Linked DNA regions of Pelodiscus sinensis. The protein of the gene in region 1 interacts with the protein of each later gene in a biochemical or structural test. Links are inferred from orthologs where the notes say so. Each region holds a gene or a part of one and is shown in the gene's direction. Other genes may lie near its edges. The genes, in order: COIL and VRK1.

Evidence for each region.
Region 2: of the proteins of COIL (region 1) and VRK1, one has a biochemical effect on the other in vitro, tested with the Homo sapiens proteins (2 studies listed by BioGRID and IntAct, with this or other methods). The link is inferred for Pelodiscus sinensis from reciprocal best matches to the Homo sapiens genes COIL and VRK1.

Annotation. Positions count from the first base shown.
Region 1 is NC_134730.1:18,932,339-18,948,163, reverse strand, and holds the start of COIL (coilin), read left to right. Parts: upstream 1-8,877; 5' UTR 8,878-8,922; coding exon 8,923-9,179; intron 9,180-13,032; coding exon 13,033-14,230; intron 14,231-15,825. Other genes in the region: SCPEP1 (retinoid-inducible serine carboxypeptidase), read right to left, coding at 111-266, 792-881, 3,841-3,986, 7,461-7,521. UniProt on the Homo sapiens protein: Component of nuclear coiled bodies, also known as Cajal bodies or CBs, which are involved in the modification and assembly of nucleoplasmic snRNPs.
Region 2 is NC_134714.1:26,957,645-26,974,252, reverse strand, and holds the start of VRK1 (serine/threonine-protein kinase VRK1), read left to right. Parts: upstream 1-8,184; 5' UTR 8,185-8,343; intron 8,344-8,438; exon of another isoform or gene 8,439-8,599; intron 8,600-16,608. UniProt on the Homo sapiens protein: Serine/threonine kinase involved in the regulation of key cellular processes including the cell cycle, nuclear condensation, transcription regulation, and DNA damage response.

The DNA of each region.
Region 1 (15,825 bases):
GAGAGGCTGTTATCCTCCTCTGACTATTAGCTGTTCAATAATCCTCTCTGATGCCTTGGTTAGAATCAGAGTTTTGTTTAATGCTATTAAACAAAATTAGAGGTCCTTACCTTGAATTCTTCCTTTGTCCCAAAGAATTCTTTAAGAAAAACCAGCATATCAGAAGATACAGTTGCCAGATCTTTTGCAAATGCATTACTATCATCTGTGTAACTGAATCCAGTGCCCACAGGATTATCAACAAACAGTAAACTGGCTGCCTGCAGCTATATAAACAGAAGACAGGAGATCTGTATGAAGTCACCATTTGATTATCATGACATGCAAATCAGTAGTGGTGCTTTGTAAGGGTCTATCACTATTCCTGATGACAGTCTATATTATAACTGTATCTACAAGGCCACAAACTGCAATTCCGCCTTTCCTTTTTTCCCCAATCCCAGATGTTTATTAAAGACAAGTTTAGCCAACCATGTTTCCTCCACCAAAACAAATGCATAAGTCTATGCTTAAATGAGTTGCTTTTAGGAGTTGTTTCCCCAACTATAGCATTTTAGGGATAAATTATTCAAAGATATCCAAGTTCTTGCAAACATGTGGAGGCGTATGGTTCCATGATACTTTAAACATGTTTGTTGGATCAAGAGTAGAACTACAAAAAACTTCTGATGTTAAGTACTAAATTTAAAATGGACACAGTACTACTTGGGGCATTTTTGTCTTGATCAAACACCTTACTGAGAAAGCAAGGATCCCATCTGTAAGTCAGCAGGTAAAAGCTAAATTTCTACCCAGGTTGTATTTCTTGGTTTCAGTTTTGCATCCAAGGGACCAATTTCTTCAAAGTTCCCAAATCCACAGCCTGAAGCTCCTGGACCTCCCTATAGGCAGAAACAAAACAAAAATGCCAATTAGAATCTGGGGAATCAAGACAAACCAATAGAATTAGTTCACTGAAATTACAAATGAACAGTTTCTGTGCTGCATGCTGAAATGTTATATATTATATATACACACACATATATACATAATATGCCCTGTTTGTGTATAGAGGAATTTAAGATACTCAATCACTAATTTGTGAAAGCATTTGATTAACTTTATGCTATGCAGATACCATTCTGAACTTTTCTTCCCATCCAGAGCTGCACACACTTCAGGGCAGTAAGTATGCAAGAGTCAGCTACAGAGCTGGTGCATGCATAATAGTCAGTTTTCCCAAGGTGCACAGCATGTGCACTACACATTGCAGAATTAATCCAGGATGTGAAAGCCTGAGTAAATTGGTGGCTTATATTCAGTATTACCTCCTACACAGATACGATGGCCTTGAACTACTCCACTTTAAACAGTCCTAATATTTTCCTTCTCACCATTCAGAAATCATTCAGGGCCTCTAATCATTTTCACCAATTTATCTCTGGCCTTAGACTGGATCTGCCCTTCAGGCTGGATCAGTCATTCAGTTACATGGTGATAGAAATGTAGCCGTGTTAGTCTGGGGTAGCTGAAGCAAAATGCAGGACAATGTAGCACTTTAAAGACTAACAAGATGGTTTATTAGATGATGAGCTTTCGTGGGCCAGAGGGTCTGGCCCACGAAAGCTCATCATCTAATAAACCATCTTGTTAGTCTTTAAAGTGCTACATTGTCCTGCATTTTGATTCAGTTACATGTTTGCCAAGTACTACCACAATCCAAAGAATAATAATAGGTCTTGGTTTATGCCAGTGTTTCCCAAACTATGGGCCATGGCCCGGTACCAGGCCGCGGGAAAAAAATACCGGGCCTCAGAGTGGCTGCCGGGAAGGGAGCAGAGCGGGGTGGGCTGGGAGGGGGTGGCAGGGAACCGGCCTCCCAGAAGCTGGGTTGGGGCAGTGGGGCTGTCCCGCGGCGATCCACGTGGGCGGGCGGTGAAAGCAGGGCTGGGGGCAGTGGGGCTGTCCCGCGGAGATCCAGGCAGGCGGGTGGCAAAAGCAGGGTTGGAAGTAGTGGGGCTGTCCTGCGGAGATGGGGGGGGGGGAGGCAGAACCAGGGCTGGACAGGAGCTGGGGGAGCGGCTGGCTGGGAGAGATCAGGAGGAGGACGGAAGAACCAGCTGCCGGAAGCAGGGCTGGATGGGGGCAGTGGGGCTGGTCGGGAGGGGAGGGGTCATCAGAGGAGCAGGGCTGACCAGGGGAAATTGGTGGGGGACGGGGGGAACTGACCACCGGAAGCAGGGCTGGACAGGGGCAGCAGGGCTGGACTGGGGAGATTGGGGAGGGGGGTGGAAGTGGGACTGACCTGGGCACATGCGGATCCTGCAGACCCTGGCAGATGAGTGAGGGTATGTCTACACTACCACCCTAGTTCGAACTAGGGTGGTAATGTAGGCAACCGGAGTTGCAAATGAAGCTCGGGATTTGAATTTCCCGGGCTTCATTTGCATAAAGCCGGGCGCCGCCATTTTTAAATGTCCGCTAGTGCGGACTCCGTTCCGCGCGGCTACACGCGGCACGGACTAGGTAGTTCGGACTAGGCTTCCTAGTTCGAACTACCGTTACTCCTCGTGAAATGAGGAGTAACAGTAGTTCAGATTAGGAAGCCTAGTCCGAACTACCTAGTCCGTGCCGCGTGTAGCCGCGCGGCACGGAGTCCGCACTAGCGGACATTTAAAAATGGCGGCGCCCGGCTTTATGCAGATGAAGCCCGGGAAATTCAAATCCCGGGCTTCATTTGCAACTCCGGTTGCCTACATTACCACCCTAGTTCGAACTAGGGTGGTAGTGTAGACATACCCTGAGTCTGGCTGGGGATTCCATTTTTCCCCCTCCCCCCCCCACATACCCTCCCAGGAGTAGTTGCGAACTGCCTGGCAGGTAGGCACACTCAGGCAGCGTGAGCACATCTACCAGCCAGGCAGTTCGCAACTAAGAACTGATACACCTAATTATAATAAAGCTTACCTAATTAGAAAATACCAGGCATTTTATATGTCTGGTAATTTCTCAATTTCTTTCCCGGACAAAACCTTCAAATACCGGCCTGTCGGGTACAAAACTGGATACCTGGCAAACCCTACCCTTCCTTCCACCCTCCCTCCTAGTCAGATACCCTACCCCCAATCTGCTCCTGCTCCCGCCTCCTGGAGTGCTCATGTGACGCCGGGTCCCCCAAGCCCTGGCCCAGGCTGGATGGAGGATGCAGCTGGGTATAATACTGAAAATTTATTCATTTTTCATTCTTTTTTTTATATGCGTTTATATTTTTGGGCTGCAAAAAACAGTACTAAAAAAAACCGGGTTCCAACTAAAGTAAAAAGTTTGGGAAACCCTGATCTAGCCAGCGTTCTATCCATCTTACAGTCCATTTATCCAATCCACATTCCCTTAACTTGCTGGCAAGAATATTGTGGGTGACGGTATCAAAAGCTTTGCTAACGCTGTCGCTGGGGGCTTTGGGAGGACCAGAAACAACTTATTTGAATATTTGTGATTTGCTTAATGAATATGCAAGTATGCAAATGAATGTTACCAGTCCTCCAAAAGCTCGTGAATGGATTTCCTGGTCCCTGTGTCAAAAAGTTTGGGAACCCCTGGTTTATGCTATATGCTTTTTTATATAGGGTAGTCAGAGCTAAATACATACCCCATTTGCAAGGAGTTCCATTATATAATTTAATTTATATAACAGCTTTATAATATTTTCAGTATTCTTTTTCTGACCTGAAAACTTAGTTCAGATATTCTCTGAGACCTAAGTCATGGCTCAAAATCTTATTCCTGTATAACTAGAATATCATGGCAGAGCAGTATGTTGAAATCAAGATTCCTTTTAAAATGTCTTTCACAATATCTTACCTGAAGCCACATAATGAGAGGTAATTCCGTGAAATTTTTGGTAGGGTTGTTTGCATAGTAGAGCCACCAAAACATGCTTGCATTGCTTCTGACTGTTACATACCCCCATGATTCTCTTTGTTCTTGTGATTGTTTTAGAACTGCACCTAAAGAAAAAGGTTATCTGATTCAACATGCTAGGGTTGGGCATTTGACCAATTCAAAACCAACAACAGGCCAAATATTTTAAAGAATTAATTTATTATAACAGTAACAAAGAGAAAGATTTTATTGATTGTGGTAGGCTAGGCCTTAAATACTTATACCTAATCTCAAAAAGTAAGTTTCGAACAGTTATTAACTGAGAAAAATGTGAAACCCAGTGAAATGAACTTCTTAAAAATGAAAGGATGGCACCATAATACAAACAAAAATGTAAGTCACTGCCTATACAAAAGCATTCTGGCTAGAATAATTGATCATGATCAGATAATGGATGGTCAGTTATCTGCCAAGCCTAAACTAGAATGTGAAATACTTGGCCTTAAAACACTTGACCAATAGCAACTTAGCTGAAGATTTCAGGAGCAATATTAGTGGCCTCGAATGAGCCAACATTCTGCTAGCAGTGTTATCAGAATGTTTTGAAAACACCACAAGTAGAGGAAGGGTTATCAGTGTGACTGTTCTAAAATAATTAGTTCAGCCTTATTCTCTTCGGCTCTGATGTGAACCTTTGTAGCCTCAATAATTCACATTCATTCGTATTGCCAAAATGGACTTCAGCTCATCTGTTCATGTTGTGCCATGGTTTCAAAAAGGATTGCATTCTCAATCCTCTGCATTAGCCTGTGTCATTCATTGATAAGCTTTTTGGGACTATTAACATCACCTAAAAATGCTGCCTGCTTTGAAGTGCAACAATGCATTTGCCTTATACTCAAAAACTTTCTGCTGTCCTATCAAGCAATCACACCCAAGATAGGTATTTTGAGCTTTACACCAAACTCTATGGCTCTGATCCTACCATTGGATCAAAAAAGTAGACCATGCACTTATGAAGTGGGTGCAGGCAAGAGGCCTTTATTTTCAGGCAGCTTCACTCAAGGGAATATTGCATTACCCAGTATCAAAGGGCTTGGAACATACAAGCTGAGGATGGAAGCCAAAGGCCAAGCCACAAAAGTCTTGTGCTAGGAGGGAAAATCAGCATCAAGTAAACTAAGATTTACCTTTCCCAGTATAAGCGTGATTCTAACTTTAAATCAATTGTTAGGAATTAACTGGTCAATTGCTTACAATGATCAACAAAGGTGTGTCTTGAAGTTATTTTTCTAACTTCAGGAAAAATCCTGAAGCTGGGCTTGAAAGCAGTTTAACAGCTGGGGCTACGTCTACACTGGCCCCTCTTCCGGAAGGGGCATGTAAATTTCACGAGTCGTCGTAGGGAAATCCGCGGGGGATTTAAATATCCCCCGCGGCATTTAAATAAAAATGTCCGCCGCTTTTTTCCGGCTTTTAAAAAAGCCGGAAAAGAGCGTCTAGACTGGCCCCGATCCTCCGGAAAAAGTGCCCTTTTCCGGAGGGTCTTATTCCTACTTTGAAGTCTAGACGCTCTTTTCCGGCTTTTTTAAAAGCCGGAAAAAAGCGGCGGACATTTTTATTTAAATGCCGCGGGGGATATTTAAATCCCCCGCGGATTTCCCTACGACGACTCGTGAAATTTACATGCCCCTTCCGGAAAAGGGGCCAGTGTAGACGTAGCCCTGAAGTGCAGAGTATCTGCTTGATTTTTACAAGTCCTTGTCCTTTTTATTACCCCCACAAGGTTGCATTGTACAGTAGCTCACAGTAAATCAGAGGTGCAATTTGAATAAGGAATTTTTTTAGCTTAAACATTTTCTTTTGGAGTTTCACTTTATGAAATTATTTCAAGAAATACAGAGGTCCAGCAAGATCCTCAGTTGTATGACCTCTCAAATTTAGACTGACAGATCACATGCATAGTCATTTATCAACATAAAACAGTCTCCCCACTTATATCTTATCAATAAGATAACAGTAAGCTCCAAAACTTCTCAGTTACATTAAACTGATGATGAAGAATGATATTTTGTCTGAGAAAAGTTACACAACTGAGACTTTATCTTCACTTGTCTCTGTTGGGAAACCAGGGAGGGTGAGACAAGCAGCAGATAGTCCATAGAAATCCTCTTCTGTGTAAGAAGGTGGCATCTTTAACCCACCCTACACTAGCTTCATGCTTTTGAGGTAGGGCTGAGGTGGAAATCAGCCACATAATAACAACTGACACTATATCTTAAGGGTGCATAGCACATACTTCTACATTAAAGAGAAGCACATAACTATCAAATTAAAGCACCAATTCCCAACAACAACAACAAATTACACACAATTTGAAACTCAAGCTTTTACCTCAGTGGTGGGCAGCCTGCGCCCGAGGACTGCATGCAGCCCATTGGGGTTCTATGTGTAGCCCGCAAGACGACCATTGCCCATCCACAGAGTTTCCAAATTCTGCTAATTTCTGTCCATGTCGTTTTTTTCCTACTAGTATTATTAAAGTGACACATGCTTGAAAGCAAGAGCAGATGAAGTACATGCTGATTGCACACAACATTGACTGTGAGCCCCATGTACTCCCTCTGCATCCAGTCAAAGTGCTGCTAGGATTCAATCTGCACACCCTGCAAATTCCAGGTACACAAGAGCAGTTAGCAAAACTACCTTATCCTGGGAGACGGGCTTGGTTATGGCCCACTGAGATGAACTAGGGTCATTTATGCAACCCACTCATTAGCCTAGGTTGCCCATTGCTGCCCTAACTTGCAATTCGGAGGCTGTACAGACTGACCCATGCAGAGTTCTATTTAAGTCAGTGGGTTCTATGTGCGGGAAAAGAGCCATTCATATGGTCCTTATTGAAGGATACAGGCTTCACAATTCAGTTCTTATAAATACAACATAAATAAAAGACTGTCTGGTTATCACTTCAATAATGCAAAACTACTTTTGTGGAAGTAAAAAGGACTTACTCCTTGAGATTAGTGGGCTGCAGAATACTCCCACAGCAGATATGTACGTTTTTAGGACATTGAATCAGATAGATCCCTGATTCACAGGCAAATACTTGCTCTTGACTTCAGTAGGGTAATTCACATGGGTGAAATTTATCTCTATTGTTAGGGCCTGATTCTGAACACAGTTCAGACATTTTCCATTGCGAAAGACTAAGGGAACAGCCAGAGTGTCCCAAGAAAGTGATTACACAATTAATGTCACGGGATAGGCAAAGCTTAAAAGAGCATGAGCCCCTTAAAAATCACTGCACAAAACGCTCAGCACGTCTGCATTTAAATGCTTCTGCCAGGACATAGGACAAAAATAAATAAATTAATAAATGGGGGAAGGGGTTGGTACACACGGTGAAGAGAGTCATCATTCATTCCTCAGCGTTCACCTAACAATAAATGCCTTAAAGTTCAGCAAGCCACAAAATCAGTTTAGAGCAAGTTTACTAGGAAGGTGCTTTGAGCAATGTCTATCACCCTAGTCCCAGTAACGCCTCATGGAGCTAGTTAAACATGCTCCCTCATACACTTAGCCTTTACCAAACGTACCTGAACCCAAAGTCAGCAGGAAAAGCATCGGAATAACATGTTGCCTAAGCAGCAGCTCCATCTCTGCAGCAACTGGGGTGGGGAGTTTCCTGACTGAAAATCATATGACTCGAGTCTCCAGTCAGCTATGTAGTAAAAAGGGAAGTGGTGGCTCTCAGGTTACAAAGGGAGCCGGTTACTAGCCAAGGGCGCCCTCTTGCCTCTCCTACATGATAAATGCAAGAGAGATCTGCACTGGTTACACTGTTAACGTGGTTCTATCTGTGCTTTACCAGACTGTCTGATTTCCCCATTTATGCCACAGAATGTACCGACCTTGGTAATAGGAAAACTTTCTTTGATGCTGGGCTCTAACTGCAGCTTGTGAAATGAGGAAAGGAAGTGTGTATAAAATCAGTGAGTGAAACCTGTGCTAAAGGGATTTAGATTAATCTGTTTCCACTTCTCTAGTGCTTTACGGTTTCCAAATTCAGATTCCCTACAGATACAACTGTAAGCAAATATTTTCCCTCCCGTTCCCCCCCCCCCCCAAAAATGCCCTCATATTTTAGATTCTAATTTTATCCTAGTCAGGATTAACACTTTCAAGAACTCCTTGTGTGTATCTTGCAGCTCTAACCCAAAGTGGGCTGTGCCCATTAAAGCTCATGATACCATCTACATGTTTTAGTTAGTTTATAAAGTGCTACCAGACCATTTGTTGTTTTTTAAGTTTATCCTGTACAGACTAACTCGGCTACCCCCTGAAGCTTATTTTTCTCATGTGAGTAGTGAAGTTAATGAGACTCCACACAGGAGAAAGGCCCAACCCTGTAAATCTGACTGCAATATCCTAGATTTAAAATGTTTATACAAGTTCTTCTAAGAGCATAAAAGCAGAATTGTTTTACATGATTAGTTTTTCATGGGGTGTGCTGGAGGACAGAAGGAGGAAAACATTTAAATGATAATTAAGGCTTTACTCTTGCATCTGGCTCTACCCTCGGCATATTTTAATACTATGCATGCCCAGTTGCAGGATCCGGGTCTAAAACACACACCAAGGTGACAGAGGTAGTATATTTTATTAGCTCATCTTCCGTTGATGAGAGACAAGCTTTTGAGACACACAAAGCTCTTCTTCAGGTGACTAATTCTCGGGGATCTCCCTATGAAAAGGAGGCTCTATGGAACACTGTCGGAAACAGGCTCCCTGATCCTGCTCTGAGCTCCACCGCCCGGCAAAAATCAATACCAGGCCAAAACCAAAGTCCACGAAGCGCTCAGTAATGAACACACGGGGGCAGGGGGAGGTAGCGGGATGAATAGCAATGCAAAGCAGCTGCTCCCGCCTGCCCTGTTCTCCGGCTGCAGTTCGCCACGGCTGCCGGCAGGTGGCGCGCGCATCGCGAAGCTGCCGATGCCTCTTGTCCCGCGTCGGGCACCGTAGCCCCCTTCCCCCGCTCTGGCCTCCTTGTTCAAGATGGCGGCGGCGGCCGGGGGAGGGGGCCCCGTGCGGCTCCGGCTGCTCTTTGACTACCCGCCGCCGGGGAGCCCGGGCTGCTCGCTGTGCTGGCTGCTGCTGGAGCCCAGCCAAGTGCGCCTGGTCACCGACCTCATCAGCCTCATCCGGGACAAGTTCGGCTTCAGCCGCCGGGCTCAGCTCAGCCTCTTCCTGGAGGGGGCGCTGCTGCCGCCCACCGAGAGCGCGCGCCTGGTGCGGGACAACGACTCCCTCAGGTAGCGGCCAGGCACGAGGCTCGCTCAGAGACTGGGGGCGGGGTCAGGCAGCTGGAAGGCGCGAGGCGGCGGCGGGGGGTCAGAGGGAGGGGAAGGCTCGAGGCAGGGGGGGGGAGAGGGTCAGAGGGGGGGAAGGCGCGAGGCAGCGGGGGGGGGAGTCGGAGGGGAAGGCGCGAGGCAGTGGGGGGGAGAGGGTCAGAGGGGGGGAAGGCGCGAGGCAGCGGGGGGGGGAGTCGGAGGGGAAGGCGCGAGGCAGCGGGGGGGAGAGGGTCAGAGGGAGGGGGAGGCAGCGGGGGGGGGGGAGGTGCCAGCCTCCCAGAAGTGTGGGGGGAGGAGGGAGGGTCCCTCAGGTAAGAACATAAGAACGGCCATACTGGGTCAGAGAACGGTTCATCCAGCCCAGTGTCCTGTCTGCCGACCGTGGCCAATGCCAGATGCCCCAGAGAGAGGGAACACAATAGATAATCCTCACTCGATCCCTCCCCCACCTCCAGACAAACAGAGGCTAGGGACACTGTTCCTACCCATCCCGGCTAATAGCCATTGGTGGACCTAACCTCCGTGAATCTATCTGCCGCTCTTTAGAACCCTGTTAAAGTCCTCGCCTTCACCACATCCTCTGGCAAGGAGTTCCACAGGTGGACTGTGCACTGAGCAAAGAAGAACATCCTTCTGTTGGTTTTAAACCTGCTGCCGTTTAATTTCATTTGGTGATCCTTAGTTCTTATATTGTGGGAATAAGCAAATAATTTCCTTATTCGCTTTTTCCACACCGGTCATGACTAAATCTGTTAATGGCCCTGATTAACCGCAGCTACCATAACGCCACTACCCCACATGCTCTGCATTTAAAACTCAGAGTTTAAAATGAAGAGCATTCAGGGGAGCTGTCTGCCACCCATGATACAGAGGCAACAGTGCAGGGTGGCAGGTGGGGAGCCAGTCTAAAAACCTGAGCTCCCCACGAACAAAGGCTACTCTGTGTGATTCAAAGAACTAGATAAATTTATGGAGGTTAGGTCCATCCATACTTATTAGTCAGAATGGGTAGGAATGGTATTGCTAGCTTCTGTTTGTCAAAGGCTGGAAATGGATGAAAGGAGAGGGATCACTTGATTACCTGTTTCTGTTCACTACCTCTGGGGCATATGACATTGGCCACTACTGAAAGACAGAATACTGGGCTTAGATGGACCATTGGTCTGATCCGGTATGGCCGTTCTTATGTGTCACAGGCAGCAGTGCAAGATGGCAGGCAGGAGCCGGTCTGCCTGGGGAACCAATTTTTAAACTGGCTCCTCTCACGGACGGGTTTCTGCCTGCCACCCTGCGCTGCTGCTTCTGATACAGAGGTAGCAGAGTGGGGCTGGGAGCGCACTGACTGCTGGCCCCATCTCCAGGGGCCATTGAATAATCTGCTAACAATTGTTGTGATTACACAATTACTAAATTAAACAATTTGAAACATCCCTACTCTATTCTCCTTGTGCAGACACCTTTTAATACCTTTCAAATCATATCATCTGGTCATATTGTAGCCGAAGTTTTAACACTCTTTTGAAAAGCACATTTATTGTTGTCTGGAAGTCCTCTTAAAATCTTGAGATTTTGGAGGCAGGTTTAGAGTGGTATACAAACTCTGTGCCTCAGCCCAAATATCAGAAGTTTGGCAGGTGTGGTGAGAGGAAATCTGGGGTGCATGGCAAGGCTTCTATGCTGCTGGAGGACAGTATAACCCATATTCCCTGCAGATTGCCCACTGAGTGCCCTTAATACATGGCATCTGCACTAGGGATTTAAAATCCTATGTAGTTGGTTAAGTGGTTAAAGGTGGTGATAACTAATTAACTGATTAAAGGGAGCTAGGCAGTGGAGTTGGTGCACCCTCTCTCCCAACCCCACAGGAGCAGCCCCTGCCTGAAATGCACCCAGGCATGCTGTGGACAGAGGCTGCTCTGGAGAGCCAGAGCAGCCCCTGAATGAAGAGTGTCTGCTGCAGAGAAGCTGTTCCATCCAGGCTAGAATGCCCTTGTGCACGGCAGGCCTGGTGGGGCTGGAACAGCCCCCTTCACGCTATGGGCAAGAATCTACTCCATCTCCCACCCCTTAATCGGAACCGGTAAGAATCCCTTGTTAAGGGGGATGCTTATTGGTTAACCTTTTACATCCCTAATTTATGCTGGCATGTGGATCGCTTGGGCACCAGGGATGTGTTGCAGTGTGCACTACCCCTTTTCCCACACATGAGCATTTGGGGATTAAGGGTGTAAGTGACTAGTCGAGTAACTACTCGCTTTCCCTCCCCCCTCCGTGCTGCCTCTGTATTGGGGGAGGTTCCCACAGCACTGACTCTGCGGTGGACAGAGGAGGCAAAGGCTCAGTGGTCTGAGATCCAGCTTGCACCAGGTCCTGGACCTACCCCCCACTGCAGCTCCGCATTTTAAATGTAGTAAGAGCCAGGTGGGCAGATAGTGGAAGCCGGCTTCCACTATCTGCCCACCTGGCTCTTACTACATTTAAACTGCAAAGCTGCAGTGAGAATAGGTCCAGGAAACAACACAATCTGGGACTTAGCAGACCCGCATGAGCCAGGGCTGGGACCTACCGCTGCTGCGGCTCTGCAGTTTAAATGTAGTAGGAGCCGGGCTGCCTCCACACCTGGCTTTTGCTACATTTAAACTGCAGAGCCACTTCAGGGAAATTTATCAGCTAATTGTGTAGTAAATACAAATTTTATCAACTGCACAATTAGTCAGTTACCCACTTCTTAACATCCTTACTGGGGATTTTAGGCTGTTTGACAGTTTAATCTTTGGCGTACTTTGTTTTTGAGATTAGTTTGTTTCCATCTCTTCGTCTGCTGAGTTAATATTTTTTAGCTCCTACGTGAATAGCTATGACATCCTAGACCAGTGGTCTCCAACCTTTTTACACCCAAGATCACTTTTTAACTCAGTCCCGCCCTCTCTTCTCCTGTCCATCACTTGCTATCTCCAGCCCTTATACACTCTGTTAAACAGTTTATTTTTAAATTATGCAATATATAAAATTAAAATCACGTTTATAGTTATGAAATAAATGGTCTTTTTAATTCATGCTATTTAAATGTCAAATGAAGCATTTACAATTATACATTTTGTTCTCTGCTATTTTGTAAATCTAAAATCAAGTATTGATAAGTATATATTTTTTCTTCCAATAACAAAGTCTCAGTGTGACACCTGTGACTGAACAGTATCTGTCAGTGTCTTGAAGTCTGGGTTGTAGTCTGAGTTTGCTAGTCGTATACAGTCCATCAGATGGGCATCTGTGATCCTGCGCTCAGCTTGGGAAGCTTGCTCCAGCACAGCTGGAGCTAGACGCAGCCTCCCTGGGCTAAGCGCAGGGCAGCCAGGCTGGAGGGAAGAGAAGTGGCTGCCTGGGCAGCTGGCCATGGCGCTCAGCCTGGGTGCACCAAGCTCCATGTGGGCAGGCGCAGAGGAGAAGCCGCCAATCAGCTGGAGCGTGGGGTAGCCTCTTTCAGCTGAAAGCCAAAGTCAGCTTGCTGGGGTGATTCAGCCCTCCCGACGTCTCAGCTCCCAGCATTCTCGCAGCTACTCGCCTGTGTTGTTGCTCGGTGAGTAGCAGCTCCTCAAATGAGGAAATCTAATGTAAATGTTCTGCGCAGGCACACAGTTCAGAGAGGGCTCAAGAGATACTCTTAGAGCCCCTGAGATCTACCGGTAGATCACGATCTACTGGTTGGTGACCACGGTCCTAGACCGTAGTCTAATAACTATTTTAAACTCAGTATGTAGAAAGGAATATTAATGTACTAGTTGTACTGAACATTGGTTTATTGTCTTTTTGACAGAGTTAAATTGGAAAAGATAGTTTCAGATAGTTGTGATGAGATTGGTAATGGTATAATTTACTCATCAAGAAAAGAGAGAAAAAAATATAGCCAAAAGTTGGAAGTGGAGGGGAATGCTAAAAGTGAAGATGACAGACACAGAAGGAAAAAGAAGAAGAAACAGAGCCCTGAACATCTTTCTTGTAAGGAAGAGGACTCTGTAAATGTTCAAGACACTCGGAAAAAGTCCAAGAAAAGAAAAAGAAAAGATGTGAATGAAAGAAATGATATCGCAGGAGGAAATGATGACAGCAGTCTTGATGAGTCCAAAAAACTTAAAAAAAAGTCCGAGGGAAAGAAAGATCTGGAAACAGAAAGAAAGGATGCTAAGCAGAGAAAAACAAGGCCAATTAGAGAAAAGACTGTTTTAGAAAAAGCCAACCACAATTTCCCTCTGAATCCTAGTAAAAGTAGCTCAGTAAAAAACATTGCAGCACAGTCTAGCAAAAAGAGGGAAGGAATTTCAGATCGTGATTCCTCCAGCACATCATCTGACAGTGAAATGGATATGAAACAAAATAAATCCTCACATAAACCTATGGCAGCAATGCTACACAGAGACAAATCCCAACTTGCAAATTCTGTTATAAAAACTGTTGTTGCTAGTAAAGTTACTGCCAAGTCTACAGATGAAAATTTCCCCAAGACTGCAATTAGTAAAAAAACTAAACCCCAGTCCTCTAGTTCAGATTCTAACTCTAGTATAGAGATGGAAGAAGAGCAGCAGCAGCAAAGCAATGACTCAAAGGGAAAACTGCTGCCTAAAAATCCCCCAGTTGTGAACATTATGGCAAAGTCCCCCAAAGCAAAGACCTCTTCTTCGGAGTCTGATAGTTCAGATTCAGAGACATTTGTTATTAAAAAGCCCATAGCAAATGTTGGCTTCAATAAATCCTTAGTAAGAAGTGGTGGTAAACAGTTGCCAGCTAGCAATCAAGGACCAGCTGTAAACTCCAGCAGTTTTGGAAGGGGACTTGGTAGAGGAGAGGATAACTTCTGGAGAGGACATAGGGGCCGGGGGTGTCGTGCGGTGATCCGGGGTCGGGGCCGTGGCCGTGGCCGTGGAGAAAGCAATAGCTTCTTCTTTAACTATGGCGATGAAAACCAGAAACATCAGCAGTTAAATGAAGAAGCAACAAACACTTCTGTTGTTATCCAGGTGAGTGACTATTTATGTCCACATAACATATTTTTATAAAGTTTTTATTAATTTATAGTTTTCTTACTAAAATTTCAGTAATTAAATATACAGAAATGCAGAAATATCACTAGCTCTTTTATAGTGTTTCGCAACACTAGATCTCAAAGCACTTAACAAAGAAGGTTGGTATCTTTATGCTCATTTTACAGATATGAAAATTGAAGCAAGGAAAAGAGATTTGGCCAAGATCATTCATGAGCCTGGTGTCAGAAATGGGAATAGAACCCACATTTTGTGAATCCAGATTAAGTGCTCTGCGCTGCCTCTCTCATCTAGGCTACTTCTACACTGCAGAGCTATTTCGGGATACCTTTGGTATCCCGAAATAGCTATTCTATGTCGTAATAGAAAGTCTGTTATATCAAAATATAATAGGTTCACTATTCCAATATTCCTGTAAACCTCATTGCACGAGAGTTAAAGGAAGTTTCAGAATAGCGCTTTATTTCAAAGTTACCTTGAAATAAGCTACACAGTTTGATCATAAATACCAAGAACAAATAAAAATGAAAAGAACAAGAGCAATATAAAGAATACAACTCTGTTGTTCATTTAGTTACGGCCAGTTGACTCATATTGTGACCAAGTGTTTATAAATACTATTTTTTGTACATTATACACAGCTTGTGTTCTACCTCTTGGTTTGAATTAGATCCCTACCAAATTCATGCTACATTTTGGTCAGTCTCATGGTTATAGGATTTTTAAAATAATACGTTTTATGATATCAGCTATTTAAGTCTGAAATTTAAAGGTGCTGTTATTGTATGAGTCCTGACTCAAAATGGAGTTATGAATGGGTTGCTGGGTTACTCTTACTTCTGCACTGCTGCTGACAGTGGCATCACCTTCAGAGCTGGGCAGCTACAATGCGGTGGCTGTTGGCTGGAAGCTCAGCTCTGAAGGTAGAACCTTCACCAGCAGTGATGCAGAAGGATGGCATGGTATGGTTGCTGCCTTGAACAGCTTGACTGTCATTCAGCAGCCGCCACTCTCTGGCCGCTCAACTCTGAAGTCAGTGCAGAAGTAAGGATGGCAATATAGCAATCCCTCTAAAATGGGTGGGGAACCTCAGGCCTGAGGGCCAGATGTGGCCTTCAGCTTGCCTGGATCCAGCCCCCAAGGCTCTGGGCCCTCCCCAGCATTAGGGAGCCTGGGCTGGTCTCCTGGCCAGGAGCAAACAAAATCTACTAGGCTGGACCCACATAGCCTCTGGCGTGTGAGTGCAATGTGAGGAGTGTTTCTTTCCTTCTCATTCAGGAGCCACAGTGAGGGTTTTTTTTTCTGCTTCTCACTTGTGTGTGTACCCCAACTGATTTTTCTGTGGGTCAGTGGCCCCCAACCCCAAAAAAGTTCACCACCCCTGCTCTAAAATAACCATGTGACCCACTCACCCCTCACAACTCCCCTTTGGGTCAGGATCTCCAATTTGAGAAATGCTGCTCTTCCTCTTGAAATCTGTAAAGTAAAGGGTCATCTTCTTCTTAAAACCTTGTACTCTGAGTGGACATCTACAAGTCTCCTCCATTTCACTCTGTCTTGAGACACAACTT
Region 2 (16,608 bases), on another chromosome or scaffold:
TATCAAAGTCTGATGATACTATGATGTGAGCATGAGATTAATTGGGCACAAATATCTATATTGTGTCTTGCCCCAGTGTTAAAGGCATTATATAATGTAGGATCAAAACAAAGATGTCTTTTATTGTGTGGCTCCCTCAATTTGCCAGTGATTGCAAGCCTTGATGTTCCTTTGTCTACTCTCCCACAGTGGTTGCTGTGCTTTTCCATATGCTGCTCACTACAGCTGGAACATCCTTTCCAGGTCAATACTCACACCTCTTTCAGAGCTTACTTTTATTGTCATGCCTATAAAAACTGAGTAAACAGAAAGATTAATTTACTTTTATTTATAATTTGGGAGGATCATAGAACAAATATTGGAGCTCTTTGTCTGGGACTACGTCTTCCTAGGTATCCGGGGGGCACCTAGTACTTACATTGCTACCATCATATAAACAGTAAAGAATAAAAAACACAATACAATAAAAATGAGGGGGAGCCTGATTTTTCTAAAGGCAATAATTGAAAGGGAAGGTAAACTCTTCCTGGAGACATTTTTTAAAAATGGGAAAGAATAAGAAATAAAGTTGGTACTGAAACACCCACCATGGCAAAACCATGACAGCCTGATAACCTCAGAAATGGGGATGAGATCATTAAACAGCAGGCAGTATGGCAGTAAGGATACCAGTCTCTTTATGTAAGGTCCTGCACAGCCCAGGGCTCTGCTTGTTTGCATCAAATAAGGGTTTAAAAGTAAATGCATATCTCTATTCTTCATTGCATTTTGCTTGAGACTAGTTATCTCAACAAGTCATTGTTTGATCAGTGTGCCACTAAAACCAAACCCGCTTCACTTCAGGGATCAGTGTCCTCAAAGCTACAAAGCACAGTAAACACTAAGCTTATAGATTCCTGTTTTTTTGTTGAAATAACATGTATTAAAATCATTGCTACTGTTTAATAGTAAATTGTTTAGAGGTATGCTAATGGACACAAGAAAATTTCAAACCTCCATAATGTGCTTTAATCACCAGCTGGAGATCAAAAGCCACCATGTGATTTTATACATCACGGGCAGCTTCCAGAACTGCCTTACATGGAAAGAGATCAATGGTAAAATTGGTAGATACAGCAAAGCTGTTGCAATAAAAGCGTTTTATGTATCTTGTTCAAAGCATATAAGTGCCTTTTAGATCACTGATTGAACCATAGACATTATAAAGTGGAACCTTTTAATACCAAAATAAATTTCTAGAGTAAAATTCCATTATAGGAAAAAAGTATTTCACTGCAACAGGATAGATAATAATTCTTTCACATGTAATGGGATATATGAAATGTTTGATGATAAACAGAAGTTCTTTGTACCGTTATAGTAAGATCCCATGTATTTGTGTTTGTACTATAATATATCTATCAGACATGATATTCTCTCTCTCTCTCTCTCTCTATATATATATATAGTGGATACTCTCCCTATTAAAACTTGTCCAAACTAAGGCGAGCGAAAACACTTCATCTTAAGGTGGATAAATGAAAATATAAAGTCTTGCCCCGTATAAACTTTGGACCACCACCAAACTAAATATTCAAGCTCTTTAAAAATGAAAAATCATGAAAGCCCTTTAAGTTGGATGAATTCTGTGCACTTCAAAGAGACTCTAGTCTTGGAAGCTTCATGTTAGTTAAAATGAATCTCTCACAACTTTAAATCATCTGCCTGTTAGCATCACAAACAGGAAAAGAGAAACTTTCTAAATGGTCTTTCTTTAGCAGCTTTTCCACACAGGCAATAGTGGTTATGCAGTAATGTTTTCCCAGGACCCAAACCCTTCTTTCACCTTCTTTATTCATTTACTTTATGTATCTTAAGCCATACTCAGTCTTCAGTCACCCGACTGTGTAATTCCATTCAAGTCAATAAAGTTCCCTATCTTAACATATGGACTCTTCCCGAATTTCTCATCTCAAAGAGATTTACCTCAGTGCATGCTACACAAGTCCTGCATAGCACTTCAGCTCTAGAAGGTGTAAGGTGACTTTCACTCTCTGTTTAAATACTGACTAATCCATGTTGTACTTGCAGAATATTTTAATGCCCTGTTTAGTATTTTGTTTATATCTACAGAAGTCATATGCATTGCTGTTTCCCCAACCATTTTAAAAATAATGTTCTTATCATTAAAATTAATAATTTGATTGTTTTATAAGGTTTTTGTAAGAAGTAAAATTATATCTTTGAAGTAGTATACCAACAATGCTGCGGAAGAACCAAATCACTGAAAATGGACAATGCCCTCTGCCAAATCAATAAAAAATTTATTCATTTTAAATTTGGGAGCAAAAATCATTCAGTTTTCTGCTCAATATTTTTGGAGATTGCTGATGATTCCAAACTGTATGTATTTTCTTCAAGCAGAAGAATGAAAAACTAAACAGTTCACTAAGGACTATGGTTTTGGTAGGAATTTAGTAGAAAACTGAAGATTTATAAAATTTTCCAGAAGACTATTCTTGAGGTTGTGGAATCTCCATCATTGGAGATATTTAAGAACAGGTTACATCCGGGGTGGGAAATAAAAAAAACCACAACCCCACAGGGTTAGTCCCTGGTGAGCCACCACCACTATATTTACCTGCATCTCAGCAGGTATCGGAGGATCGCAGCCAATGCAAGCAGCAGGAAGCTCCATGGACCGGGACACAGCTACTATCTCATCCTTTCTTTGCCTCAGTTTCTTCATGTGTAAAATGAGGATAATGTCTGTTTACTTCAACATCTTGCTGAAGCTTAAGTCACTACAGTGAAAGCTTTGTTATCAGGCACTCATGGGGAATGGGAGTTGCTCATTAATTGAATTGCCAGAGTACAAACAGGGGCGGCCCGTGCGTATAGGCCGACTAGGCCGTCGCCTAGGGTGCCGCGTTAAACGGGGCACCAATGATGACGTCACACCATTCAGGGCTGTGGAGGCGGGGGCGCCAATCATTCATTCCGCCTGGGGCGCGGGGGTGCCGATCGTGCATTACGCCTGGGGCACCAGCTGCTGGCAGCCTGCCTCTGGCTGCCCCTGAGTACAAAGCTTATTGTTCTGCCCCACCCCTTACTGACCGATCTGGTTCTTGGCAGCTCAAAGCAGACTGAGTCGGAGGGAGGTGCTTGCTGATGACATCAGCTGTCAGAAGCCCTGCAATGGCCAGCTGGGCAGGCGGGAGTCAGTTGTGTGCACCTGAAGAGATGGCAGTATTGTGGTTGGGGCAATGCTGGTTAACAAAGATTTGTTGTTAACAAAGTGCTGGATAACAAAGCTTTCACTGTATTTATAAACTGCTTAGAGGAGTGGAAGTAGGTGGTGTTGGAGAAATGCAAATTATACATTTTAATCATTCACTTTCCTTTGCAGGAAAATATCTTTCATTAAATCCTAGATTAAGGGCATTAATGCTTTTACCCTCATGTCTTTTTGTTAGAGATGGAATAAAACATGAAACTTTTTAGTTTTACACCTCTCTTTTCATATCAGTTACATTCACCCTCAGCATAATGTTTTCAGCTTCATCTAGCTTCTTAATCAATGAGAACTGTGTTCTTCATCTTGTAAAAACTTTGTTTAAATATAATAGAATAATTTGTTTAATTTGCTAGCTGCTGCTAATGAAAGGACCTGGGGTGGATTTTCAATGAAATATACTTTGCCCTGGCACAGGCTCCCTCAATGACACGGGGCCCTGAGTGCTAGGCAGTCCAACACTGGATCTGACAAATCCCTGTCCTCTTCCCTGCCACCCATGCACAGAGGTGTGGCTGCTCTGTGAGTGGCAGTCCCTCTGCAGAGAGGGCAGTGGGGGGTGCAGGAGAACAAGGAGGAACATTTGACAAGTTCAGCAATATTGACAATTGAAAGTGCCTCTTTACAAAATATCACTTAGGAAGACTTATTTGACGATTTTGCAAAGAAAAAGTACAGAAAGAAAGCTAGCTGATTTTTTTTCAAATTGAATACATTTCTTCAGAGGGAGTTAACTTTTATTTTTCCATTCATGCGTCCTCTATACATTTTATTTTTACACATTTTTCATGTTGGCTTAATGCAAATACAAGTTTTCATCTAGACCAGAAGTTCTCAAACTTTGCTCTGAAAACTCCATTCAGGTGGACTGAGGAAAGGTTACTATTATTATTATTTTTAAATAAAGCACAGGGTCCCACTAACTCTAAATCTGTCACTGGAAATGACACATGGGGAAATCCTTAAGTATGTGTCAGGAACAATTTTGTTTCTAACTAGTTATTAATAGCACTAAAACACAATAGGATATTAATATATTAATAATAATCACCTATTAATACATGGTACATCTTGGAGCATCATGAGGTCATTGGGCAGATTGCCTTGTATACTAATGGATCAACAAGGCTCTGGAGTGTTCTGTTGCTCTTATACTATATTTAGGCTTAAAAAGATTAGATTTTTATCTGTAAATGTCTATTTTACTGTACACATTCAAAGTGAAGAAAAAATGATTAATCTAATATTGAAATTTCAGATAGGCAAAGTAGTAAATTCTCAAGCAGGATTTATTCTTAAATTTGTTTTAAGAATGCTTAATTTGTATATTTTGTGTTATGACAGTTTGTGTTGTAACAGTTATATAGCTTATAGCTTTTTGAACCTTAATGTCTATAGTCATTAAATAGTCTGACTGCCCTATCACTTTTGACAACTGTGATAATTTTAATATTTGTTCTTTTTATTTAAAACCCATGATTTTGCACAAATGTGCAAACTTAAATAGATAAATCTAAAAAAGCTTAAAAATAAACATTGATATTATCGATCAGAACCAAAGTAAATCCCCACTGAATTCTATCAAGCCCAACTACAGGCAGTCCCCGAGTTACGCGGATCCGACATAAGTCGGATGGGGTTACGAAAAGCAGTTACGAATGGGGCTTTTCTCGCCCCGGAGGACGGGAGCGGCGGGACGCCCAGATGCGAGATGTCCTCCGGGGCGAGAAAAGCTGCTCCCCATCTCCCTGGTCTGCAGGGAGATGGGGAGCAAAGCCTCGGAGCACGTCCGCAGGGGGACAGCTGCAGCGCGCCTGGGCTGTCCCGCTGCAGGCGTGCTCCAAGGCTTTGCTCCCCGTCTCCCTGCAGACCAGGGAGACGGGGAGCAAAGCCGTGGAGCACGCCCATAGGGGGACAGCCCAAGCGCGCCTGTTCCGACTTACATACAGATTCAACTTAAGAACAAACCTACAGTCCCTATCTTGTACGTAACCCGGGGACTGCCTGTATTTTATTTAAAAATAAAATAAAAAATTAAGTATTCAGTTATTTTATACATACACTGAAGAAAACAGTATAAAATGGAAAGGTGAGGAAAAGTGCAGGAACTACATTATTTTAGTATGAACAAAACCTGTCACAGATATGAATGGAAGCAGCATGTCCTGAACTGTGGTTTGGGAAGTCAAAAATGAGCTAGAAAATCGTGTGGGTCATTATGCGTGGGTACTAGACCTGCAAATACTTGTAGAGGAGCCTGGACGGCCCTGCCTTGACAATAATGTTTGCCTTGACCACCACAGTGCGGATCTCTAACAAGCAAAACCTAGGCCTGTCTCAAGTCTGGTGCACGTAAGCACGCAGGCAAGGCTTGGAGGGTAGGGAGGGAGCTTTGGGAGGCAGAAATGTTTTGCACAATCATGCAGGTTAAGCATCATACATCAAGACCGCATCATGAACACAGGACAATCAACCTTGTACTGGTACTTCTATTTCTTATAAGCAAAAATTCCAGATACAGCCATAAAACTGTTAACTACGCACATAGTTTTTGCAACATCCTGAGTAGCAGGATGTACCCGAAATAAGAGTATTGGGCATTTTAGGTATCCTACACAATGCATAATCAATTGATAAATATTATTAGAACAATCAAGTATTGCTTTGCTATAAAATGAGCATAATAAGAAGAATTGATGGTAGGTAGTGAGCAGGATTGACCCACAGGTCCTGTTTGTTGTAACTAGAAGTAAATAGACTCTTTACACTGACTATAGTAGTGCATGGTGTCCTGAAAAGTGGAAGTAAAAGTGACCACGAGCTCCTGCCTGGTACTGTAGCGGCATATAGGTAAAGTTTAAGTGAACTAAGCTTAATTATTGTAATATAATAAATCTTCTATTAATTGCTTTTGCATTGTTGTATGCTGTACTAATTGGTTTAGAATGTATAGCATTTAAAGTTTAAATTGTATAGTAATTATTTTTAAGGCTTGTAAAATTTAAACAACTATATTAACTGCTTTAAGTTTGCAATAAATAAGAAAGTGGTCAAGTCTCTCTGGAGTGTCCTGGTTTCCCTCAGATCTAAAATAAATCAAACCACATGACAATACTATGCAGTGCAGATATACTCAAAGTAACGATGTACTTGCCATTCATACCCTGCAGGTTTTCTGTTAATGATGTGTTGTATTTGGCAGTTAAGAATCACTACAGACCAGCTGTATCAATGTCCTCTCACAAATCTGGCTTGCACCTCTGAGCTCTGTTTTCTTTGGCCAGGATTATAATCCTATTTGGTCTGAGCCATTTTAAGCATGATCCAGCATCATATTAATTGTATCTTTACAGCACTCTACAGATATTATTGCAACATCTCTGAGAGATACATAAGAAATATTCCCATTACGAAGAGGGGAAAGCAAAGCAGAAAACCTAAGGGAATGGTCCCATGTGAGAGGAGTCCAATGGAGTTTCCAGCTCAGACTATAAGGCCACATGTTTCAAAAAGAGCTTTCTCTAATTCAGTTATGCAAAAATTAGAGATGGAGCAACATTTTGAATTGAAGGTGCCAACACCTTTGAATTTCAGGAGGAACATGATTTCGGGTCACAATGCCACCCAATGAGATTTGGCCTCTGTGCCCCTCCATAATCATTGTAAGAATGATCTTATGGGTAGTGCTACAGTGCATAGTACCTTTTGCTTTCTTTACTTTTATTTTTCTGATTTTTCTTTGAGTTTGCTAAGCAGGCTGCAAGGTATAGAATTCAAAGCAGTTTGTTGAAAAGCAGTAAAAATACATTATATGGGAGCACCTGAGGGGTAGGGTTTTCAAACAGAATAGATGTCTAGGTACCATAATCATGGACATATTACAGTTTGATCAATCAACACATTCTAATTTTCTGCTTATTAAAAGAGTATCCAGCAATTCATCTCTGTTTAGGGATCTTTGCGCAAAACCTCCACCCTTGAAAGCTGTTTTTCTTCCCTTCTTGGCGTTCCTTCAATTCTGTTCGTCCTGCTATATGTATCTTCCAGATTCACAACTTGGTAGACGTAAGTGTGGATGTGATTTGATTGTCCTCACCCAATATTGGTTTTATGAGTCAAACTCTGCTTGAAATCTCTCGATCTACTTGTCAACAGATATTACTACATTTTATTCTTTTATTGTTAGAGAACAATCTGCTCTGACCCTGTGAAAGCTCTGTAAGGAGCAAACCATATTGTTGCATTTTATCACTTCATCTCATTCTGTCTGTAACTGTATCATGAATTTTGTAAAGTTGATATATATGAAAAAATATTATGCAGAATTTGAATTTTGAACAGAGAATTTAGAGCCTAACGAGCTAACTTTAAGGTTGAATGAAAAATTCCTCAGCACATCAAACAAATGAAATAATTCATCATAATGATTTATTTGTGAAATTCGTGAAGTTGTACCCATAGAACCACAGAAAATAAAAAGATCCGTTAATATTATCTTATATCCAGTTACATGCAGAAATTCATCCACGTGCTAGAGTCTGGTATTGGCATGGAAGGAGAGTGGCGACTTTGACATGGGGGAACCTCCCATTTAGTGTTAAATCTCATGCTTTGAAGCCAGTCCCAGGATTTGTGAGTCCCTGCGGCTGGCAATTATGCAGATGCATCCTCCTTGGCTGCATTTTCCATTTGCCTCCTGGGCGTACTCATTAGATAGCCGAGCTGCTCCGAGCTGGCGTTCCCGAACGCGGCTCCCTTCTGCGGCTCGTGATGCTTTCGCATAGGGACAGCGCAGGCTGGCGCTGCCAGGTGAGCAAAAACTACAACCCCCAAGGTGCACCGGGCTCATAGGGGGCGGGGAAGAATGAGGGAGCAACGGTGGCCGATGCGGTCCGCGGGAGCCTCTGTTCCCGTGTAGGCGGGCTCTGTCGGGTACATAGCCAATAGGCTAGGGCGATAGTGGGATGTGCGTAGCCTGGCGGGCGGGCTGCCTGAGGGCTCGGGCAGTGCGGGAATTTCAGAGGGCAGAAGGAGCAGTCGGCCCGGGCCCGGCTCCTGAGACCCAGGAGGTACTTGACGCTGGGGCTCTGGGGAGGCGGGCGCAGCCGGCTGGACCTTCAGCCTCCCCCCCCCCCCACTCGGGAGCTGGGCTCCGGTCCGGGAAAGGGAAGGGGGAGGCTGTAGCTGTCTCCCCCCCCGAAGAAAAGGTTTGGCCCCACTCGCATCCCGCCGAGGAACAGCCTCCCTCGCCCGCCCTGGGGGCCGATCCCGGCTGGCTCCCCCTCCCGCGCCCATTTACACCCCCCGCGGAGGCTTGACTGGAAGGTGTGGAGCGTCATTCCGGCCCCTTCCCCATGGGTGGGACTTGCATCGCCGTGGAGCCCCCGACCCCGCGGTTCCCCGCTTCTCAGCTTGGGCCCCGCCCTGGCCGTGGGGTTGGAGGCGGGTCACGTGTACACAGGGCCACAGGGCCCGTGCAGATAAGGGCGAAGCGTGTTTCTTCTCTGGGGGGACCAAGGAGGGGGACACACACGTGAAATCCATCACCACTGAAGGGGAGAAAAACATAATTTTTACCTTATTAGAAATATATCCTTAAAATCCTGCCCAAATGTGTTAGGATCGGGGACGTCTATCCTATTGCAGCTGGGAGAGTGGAGATGAGTTGGCTTTTTTTTTTTTAAAGCCTTTGTAGGACTCAGAGTTGTACAGGTGTAGGCTCAAGCCCTTTGTCCCCAAAGGATTTCAAAAGAGAGCCCTTCCAGACATGTTCTCTGTCATTGGTATGGGAATTTTGAGTTTCTTCTGGTGCAAAATGTTTTGTGGTGTTTGAAGACTAAGTCTTCTTCCTGATATAAGTTACCCTCACTGAAGTCATTGCTGCTTGAGACAGACATGTATTCCACCACTTAATCAACATTGACTTTCCAGGTCATTTGGGGCCCTAAATGATGATTAAAACAGCAGTCCACCCACTCCTTGTAGAATTACCCCAAATACTTCTTAAGGGCTCCTTTGTAGTGTGGGTGTTGAGTGCTGGTCCAGAGATGTGGAGGTTTTGGGGTTATATCTAATATGGCTTCTAGACATGTTTCCAGGTGATAAAAATATATGAAAGGATTTATCAGTCTGAGTATTGTATGAATGGATGTCAGAAAGTTGAGGGAGATCTGAAATGTCATTGAAGTACAAAAGATTAATGATGTCTGGAGAAGATGGTTTAAATCCAGAATCAGGGAGGTTGCTTCTAAAAGATCTAGGCTTGGCAGGTCTGAGCTGTATTGAGGGATTCAAAAATAAAATGTCTTTGCCTGTGGGAGAAGAGGTCTGTGTCCAGTTTCCCCAGCCTTCTGCTTTCCTTATAAAATATTTTAAAAGCTACCGATATAGGTTCACCCTGCTTAGTTTGAACATAAATACTGAGAGGCAAGAACTTTTAAATAGCTGTAACTGAAGCAATTACTTTGCTGCCAATTGATTTTTAATAACCCCAGTTAATCTGAGATGTGCAGCATTATTCTAAACATGTAACAGAAGGCCTGAGGGAGGAAAAAAATTATTGTATAAATTAGACCTTCATTTGCTGTAGAAAATAGGGATGTCAACATGTAGTCGACTATATGGTTAACCGATAAATTTCAACTTATCGGTTAATCCTATTGACTACACGCATTCCCCCTTTCCCCACCCTCCCCCTGCAGCAACGAGGTGGGAGTAGTGGGAGCTAAGGATGTTAAAATGCAATTATCTGGTTAATTGTATAGTCTATTAGTTGATAAGCACCACAGCTACAGCGGGGGTAGCTCCAGAGAAGCCAACTTGAACTGGGATTGAGCAGTCCTGGCTTGTGCCAGCTCCAGATCCACCTATGCTGCAGCTCTGCGTTTTAAATGTAGTAAGAGCTGCTGGGCGATTAGCACGAACTGGGACTGTTTGCAGCAGCCAGGGCTGGCCACTATAAACAGAGACTGCTCTGGCACCAGCCCTTTTTCATGGCAGCCAGGATTGGCTGCAGACAGGAGATGCTTCCTGAATGTTCCCCTACCCACGTCCACCCCTAGCTGCTGCAAACAGGGGTTGCTTGGCCGCAACAGAGGCCGGAGGTGGGGAGGGGGGTATACGGCACCCTGGAGATTGTTCTGGGGGGAGCCGGCTTTTAAACCAGATTCCCCTAGTGCCAACTCCTTTTGTCCCCATTACTGCCTCTCAGAGAGACAGCAAGAAGGGAGGGGTACTACAGAGAGCACTGGGTGAGCAGGGACTGCTTGAGTCCCTGCTAACCCTGTGCTTCCTGCAGCACTTCTTTTTTGCACGTTTCAAAAGCAGAAGCACCCGCAGTGGGAACTGGCACAAGTGGGGACTGAAGCAGTCCCTGCTCACGCCATTTCCCACTGTGCCTCTGCCTCCCCAGCCTCCTGCAGAGATGGTACTGGGGGAAATCACCTTTACCGAGTCCCCCCGTCTTGTACTCCCTATGGACAGAGGTTGGTCCACAGCAACAGTCTCTGTCTGTGGGGAGCTTGGACCTCCTGCGGACAGGAGCTGCTGCCACAGACGAGACTCTGTCCATGGTGGGCCCAGACTAGCCACAGACAGGCGGTTCTGTGAGAGGCAGAGTGGCTTCCCTTCATGGGGTGCTTGGACCCCCCATGAACAGGGGCTTCTGCTGTGGACCAACCTCTGTCTGCAGTGAACCCAGGCCACTGTGGATAGAGGCTGCTTTGCGGCAGCCTCCCCTGTTGCCGCCGCTGCCTTTGATAAAGACAGCAGGGTGGAGGGGCAGGCGACACCATGAAGCTGGGGCTGCGGGGAACTGGCTTTTAAGCTGGCTCCCCCCCAACACCATCTCTTGCCTGTCCCCCCCTTGTTACCTCTGTAGGAGGCAGCAGTGGGGGGGGCAGGTGGGTCCCCAGAGCGGGCACACAAGAGGAGCCTGCTTGAAAGCAGTCTCCCCATGTGTATCTGCTTCATACTGCCCTCTCACTCTCTGTGCTGCTTCCATGAACAGGAGCTGGTCAGCAGCAGCATCCTCTGTCCGCAGGGGGTCTGAGGTCCCCAGGGACAGAGGCTGCTGCTGTGGACTAGACTCTTGTGTGTGGGGAGCTTGGGTGCCCTGCGGACAGGGACTGCTGCTGCACTGCTACCTCTGTATCAGAGGTAGCAGCGTGGGGTGGCAGGCAGCTGTCTGCGTGGGGAGGTGTTTTTTAAATTGGCTACCTTGGCAGTCCATCTCCTGCCTGTTATCCTGTGCTGCTGCCTCTGATAGAGAGAGAGAGAGCGAGCGAGCGAGCAGCGCGGGGTGGCAGGGAGCATCCTGGGAGTGAGGCCGAGATCACACTGGCTGCCAGCCCTGCCTCCGAGGACAATCGAATAGTCTGTAGCCACTAATATTTCATGCTGTTACACATCTATTCAGTTTCACAATATCTAACATCCCTAGTAAAAATTACTGGTTTTGATTCTGGAAATATATGAAATATTTGTGGCTATTATGGTGCCTTTAAGAAATCATCAAGAATACATCCCTTGTTTTGAATAAAACCTCAAATTCTAAAACTGCACACAATTTAAATGAAGTATTTCAGAAGTTTAAAAAGTGTCTTTTTGTGGAGAAGAGGAAGGATTTTTTTTTCTGGAAGATTTCAGGAGTTCTCCATAGGGATGTTAAATGTCAGTTAATTGAATAGTCGATTAACGTCATGAATTCTTATGGGTTACTTGGTTATTCCATAGTCCCCAGGGGCTCACTCTTGAGGAGCTGGTCCATGAGGGGAACCAGTTTAAAAACCAACTCCCCTCGTGGACTGTCTGTCTCATCCCACTCTGCTGCCTCTGATACAGAGGCAACAGCACAGGATGGCAGAAGCCCCTGTCCAGTGGGGTCTGAGCTCCCAGACCCAGACTGAGGTGGGCTACCTGCCTATCTGGCTCCTAATACACTTTAAAGACAGAGCCACAGCAGGGGTAGGTCCTGGACCCAGTGCAAGCTAGGACTGAGCTGGGCTGCTGGACAGCCTGCTAAAAAAAATTATTGGGTGGGAGAGGGGAAGGGATGCATGTAGCCTATAGCATTAACCGATACGCTTTTGCTCGTCCATTAATGGACTACACTATTGCATCCCAAATTCTGCAATGAGTAAGTGGTATAAATAATGTGCAGATTTCATGTCTTTCTATAACTGCCTATTGACTAAAAGGATCATAGGTTAGCAGCACTGTCCTCTCTATGCTGAAAGATCCTATTGAAATAATCAAATCTAAAAATGACAGTTTTTAGACAATTAGGAAAGAACCAGATCAGAAAAGAATTCAGCAGTATAGTCATTCTGAATGGCCACATACAGAAATACTTCCTTAAAATGAATTTGATTTATATTCATTTGACTTCTACTGAGAATGGTAGAAAACACAACCTGGGAAATGCCTACTCAAGCTTATTTAAGAGCACAACAGTAGTACAGATTGCATTTATAAAAAGATCACTGATGAGATAAAATTGCTAAATTGTATGTACATCTCAAGCATAGCATGTGGAGAAGCAGTGACCTTGTATTCTCTAAAGTGGTTTTGGAGAAGAGTTCAAACATCCCTCTACTTCTGTTGTAATTTTTCTATTTGTTAGGAGCAAAATATAATATAATTCTATGCAATTTCTGAGCACACAGCCCTCTACAGTGGGGCAACCATATTCTTTAAAAATATATTCCTGTCAGTTAGCAGGGTCAAATATTTTCAGTACTTCAGAGGCAGTATAATATATGACATCTACATAGCATTGTACATCCAAGGATTTCAAAGCACTTTGAGTGTGAATGCAATTAAGTTTCACAATATTCTTGAGAGGTAGAAAATAGAAACCTTTGTTATCTCTCTTTGGAGAAATGGGAGGTGCTGGTTAGCCAAACATTCTGGTTGGTTAACAGTTATAATTACCAATGGAATACCAATTTTCAAAGGATTAGTATACAATAAAAATGAAAGTATAAAACAGTATACAGGTACTCACCAATCTAGTAGTGATACTGCACTGCATAGTGGTTGGTTTCTTGAAGCACTTAGGTCAGGGGTGGGTAAAAGCCTGTCAGCAGGCCAGGCCCTCTTAGCTCTTTGATCCAGCCCTTGCAACAGTTCCTGGCCCTCCCTCCTTTAGTCTCATGCGAGTCCTTTAAATAGTAGCGGTTAAAAAGGCTCGTGGCTCCCGGCCCCAGAGCTAGTGTGTTGCTTGAAATCCAGGGATGCAAAAGCCCTTTCAACTTCTATTGAAAGAGCTTGTGCCGTCCTCACAGCTGTTAGGCGATGTCAGCCATAGGGAAGGCATGAGCCCTTTTAAATAGAAGCAGTTGAAAGAGCTCTAGTATGCCACCTCTTAGGCAATGCACTAGCAGGGAGGCCAGGTGCAGCAAACCCTTTCAAAAGCAGGAGTTGAAAGGGCTCGTAGCTCCCACCCCCTGCTAGCGTGATGCCTGGGAGTGCAGGGGAGGTGGGAGCCCTTTCAACTCCTGCTATTTAAAGGCTTCACTCCTTCCAGGGCAGCCCGCAAACACTTCAAAAACATTTTGAAGTGGCCCCCCTTCAAAAATTATTGCCCACTTTGACTTAGGTGTAGACAGGTGACTTACTGTATAGAAAACTTCATCGTATGACACTATGTATCATTATAGGCTAGGGATGTAACTGTTTAGCCAGTTAACCAGTGGAGACTGGAGCAGTTCCTTGCCAGGGCAGTTCTAGCCCTGCAGGGGTCCTGCCATGAGCAGGGGATGCTCCGGTCATCCAGAGCAGCCTCTTTTCATAGCGCCCTTCCCTCCCCCCACAGGCAGGGGCTGCTCTGACTGGGCTGGAGCAGCCCCCTGCACCACCAACCATCCTCATTTAATCAGTTAACTGGTTAAACAATATGTTTATTGGGGGCAATAGATTATTTTTCCTCGCAAAGGTTATGTTTACACTGAAATAAAATACCTGTGCTCTGGCTGTGGCTATCTTGGGGCTCCTGGTGGTCAGTCTGTGGGGCTACAGTTGATGTGTAGATGTTTGAGCCTGAGATCTTTGACTGTCTCTCATTGTGGGACACTTCAGGAACCAAAAAATCTATGATGATGTAGGAAATTTCAAGTTGTCTAAGTCTGTATTAAACATATGTCCTACTGTGGTGTTAGTTGGGTATTATGCTGTTCTGTATGTGTGATTTTTTTACTCTAATTTGAATACATTTTATTTGTTCATACCTTAACACCCCCCCTACACTTTCATTTTGTTATAATTTTCCTGCTATGTAAATACTGATACTACTACAGGCAGTCCCCGGGTTACGTACAAGATAGGGACTGTAGGTTTGTTCTTAAGTTGAATTTGTATGTAAGTTGGAACTGGTACATATTGTAGGGGAAACTCTAGCCAAACATTTCTCCAGAGCTCAGTTTTATTCTCCCACACCTCACTTCCCTCAGTCCTTTATTCTCAAGCTGAGGTGTCTGCTGAGAAAAGCCGCTCTACGTCTCCCTGGTCTGCTGGGGGGAAGCAGCTAGTGCGGGGTTGCCTCACCCCGTTTGTAAGTAGGGATCCGATGTAAGTTGGATCCATGTAACCCGGGGACTGCTTGTATATTGTAAAATAACTGCAGTAGTCCTCCCTAAAGGTGAGTGATTTTGGGGCATCATTTTGTAAAGCATTTTAAGATAATATGGAATTAATATTTATTTTTAAATATGCAAATTTTATTTCGTGGTTAATTGTATACGACTGACAGAGAGAGAGATGCTTTGAGACAAGGGATGTCTTTCAGATATGCCGAGGGAAATAGTCCAGTGATGTATCTAAAATTAAATTAAAAGTACAGTGGTCCACAACTTTTAACGTCCATTCAATCTTAGCAAATTATGTACAACACCAAAAGTAGCAATAAAAGGCATTTTATTTTCTTTCCTTTTTTTGATGTTTACCTTGTCTCTTCAAATGTTTTTGTCTTAATAATATGTTGTAATTGGCTACAATTGCTTCCACTCCCAAAATCTTCCTGTATGTATACTGGATTACTTCTGAGAAGGTTCATACCTGAACACATGATCTCAAATGCAGAAGTATGGGGAGCCAGAGCTTCAGTACTTCCAAAGGCCAGGTTTTTTGCAAAACAGTGCTTGTCTTTTGTGTTTTGTCCTTTTAAAACTACAGTTGCATGGCATCTGACCCAGTGATAGCTTGACCAACTTGTGAGTGGGCACAATGCCATCCTAACACATGGTTTAGTTGACTGTCTACATTCATGCCCATCTATGCGTATCTAGTGTATTTAAGTGTATGATTCTCAGCTGGAAACAGTCAATCTCTGTCCATTCCGAGCTTTCACTTTTATGGTTAAAGGGATGTCATGTTGACTGTCTTTAATTTTCGTATTTAACTTTTGGATGATGAAAACTTGGGGGAGGAAGCACTCTTTGCTAAGCCCTCTTGTGGGGTTAGTTGAATACACTGTTTTGCTCCTTGTAAGCAAGTTTGTCAGCAGCAGATCTAATGGTGACATTACATGGTGGAATAGATTGATTAACTCTTGATTAATAAAGCTAATAATATATATGTTGAATATAAGCTGCTCAGATTCTATCTCTTTGTGAAAATGTGGCAGCACTGGTCACTAAATCATTTTCTGAAGTCAGGTATATTATGGTGGGGAAGAAGTAGTAGTAGTTCCTGGTGTTTGTGGATCAGTCTCTTTCAGACCAGCCAGGTTAGATCATGTAACATTTTAATTTGTACAAATCACACAAGTCAGATTTCTCCTCGGTTATAAATGGGGGGAAAATCTTTAACTTGAATCCTATACTATTGTATCTCTTTAAGAAAAAAACGCAAGGATTAAGAGAAACATTTTAAGAGGACCAAATGCAAATTTGGGTAAACTTCTGTTTTATAAATTAAAATAAAGTGTCACAAAGCTGTATCTGGAATATATATAAAATTTGGTGTTACAGTAATAGCTTGAAATATTGGATATCAATTAAAAGTTTAAAAACCTGCATTTTGGATACTAGAAGGTTCAGCTGTGACAGGTGTGAGTAATAGTATTGAATGGCTCTTAGCAATAATTTTAGAGGTACCCTTATCTTGTGGTAGTGATTTCTAATTTGTTCTTTGCTGATGTGTGTACGTGTGCTATGAGTTAAGTGTATTTCTATTATCTAATGAAATTGTGCATGTTTAGGATGCTCCTGTAGAGTAGAACAATATATTATTTCTTTTACTTTGGGAATGGGACATGAAAGCATTTTTAAGACATTTTCTTTTTCCTCTAAGTGGCCCATTTCCTGGATGCCGAATTTTTAGGTAGGGGGCATGAC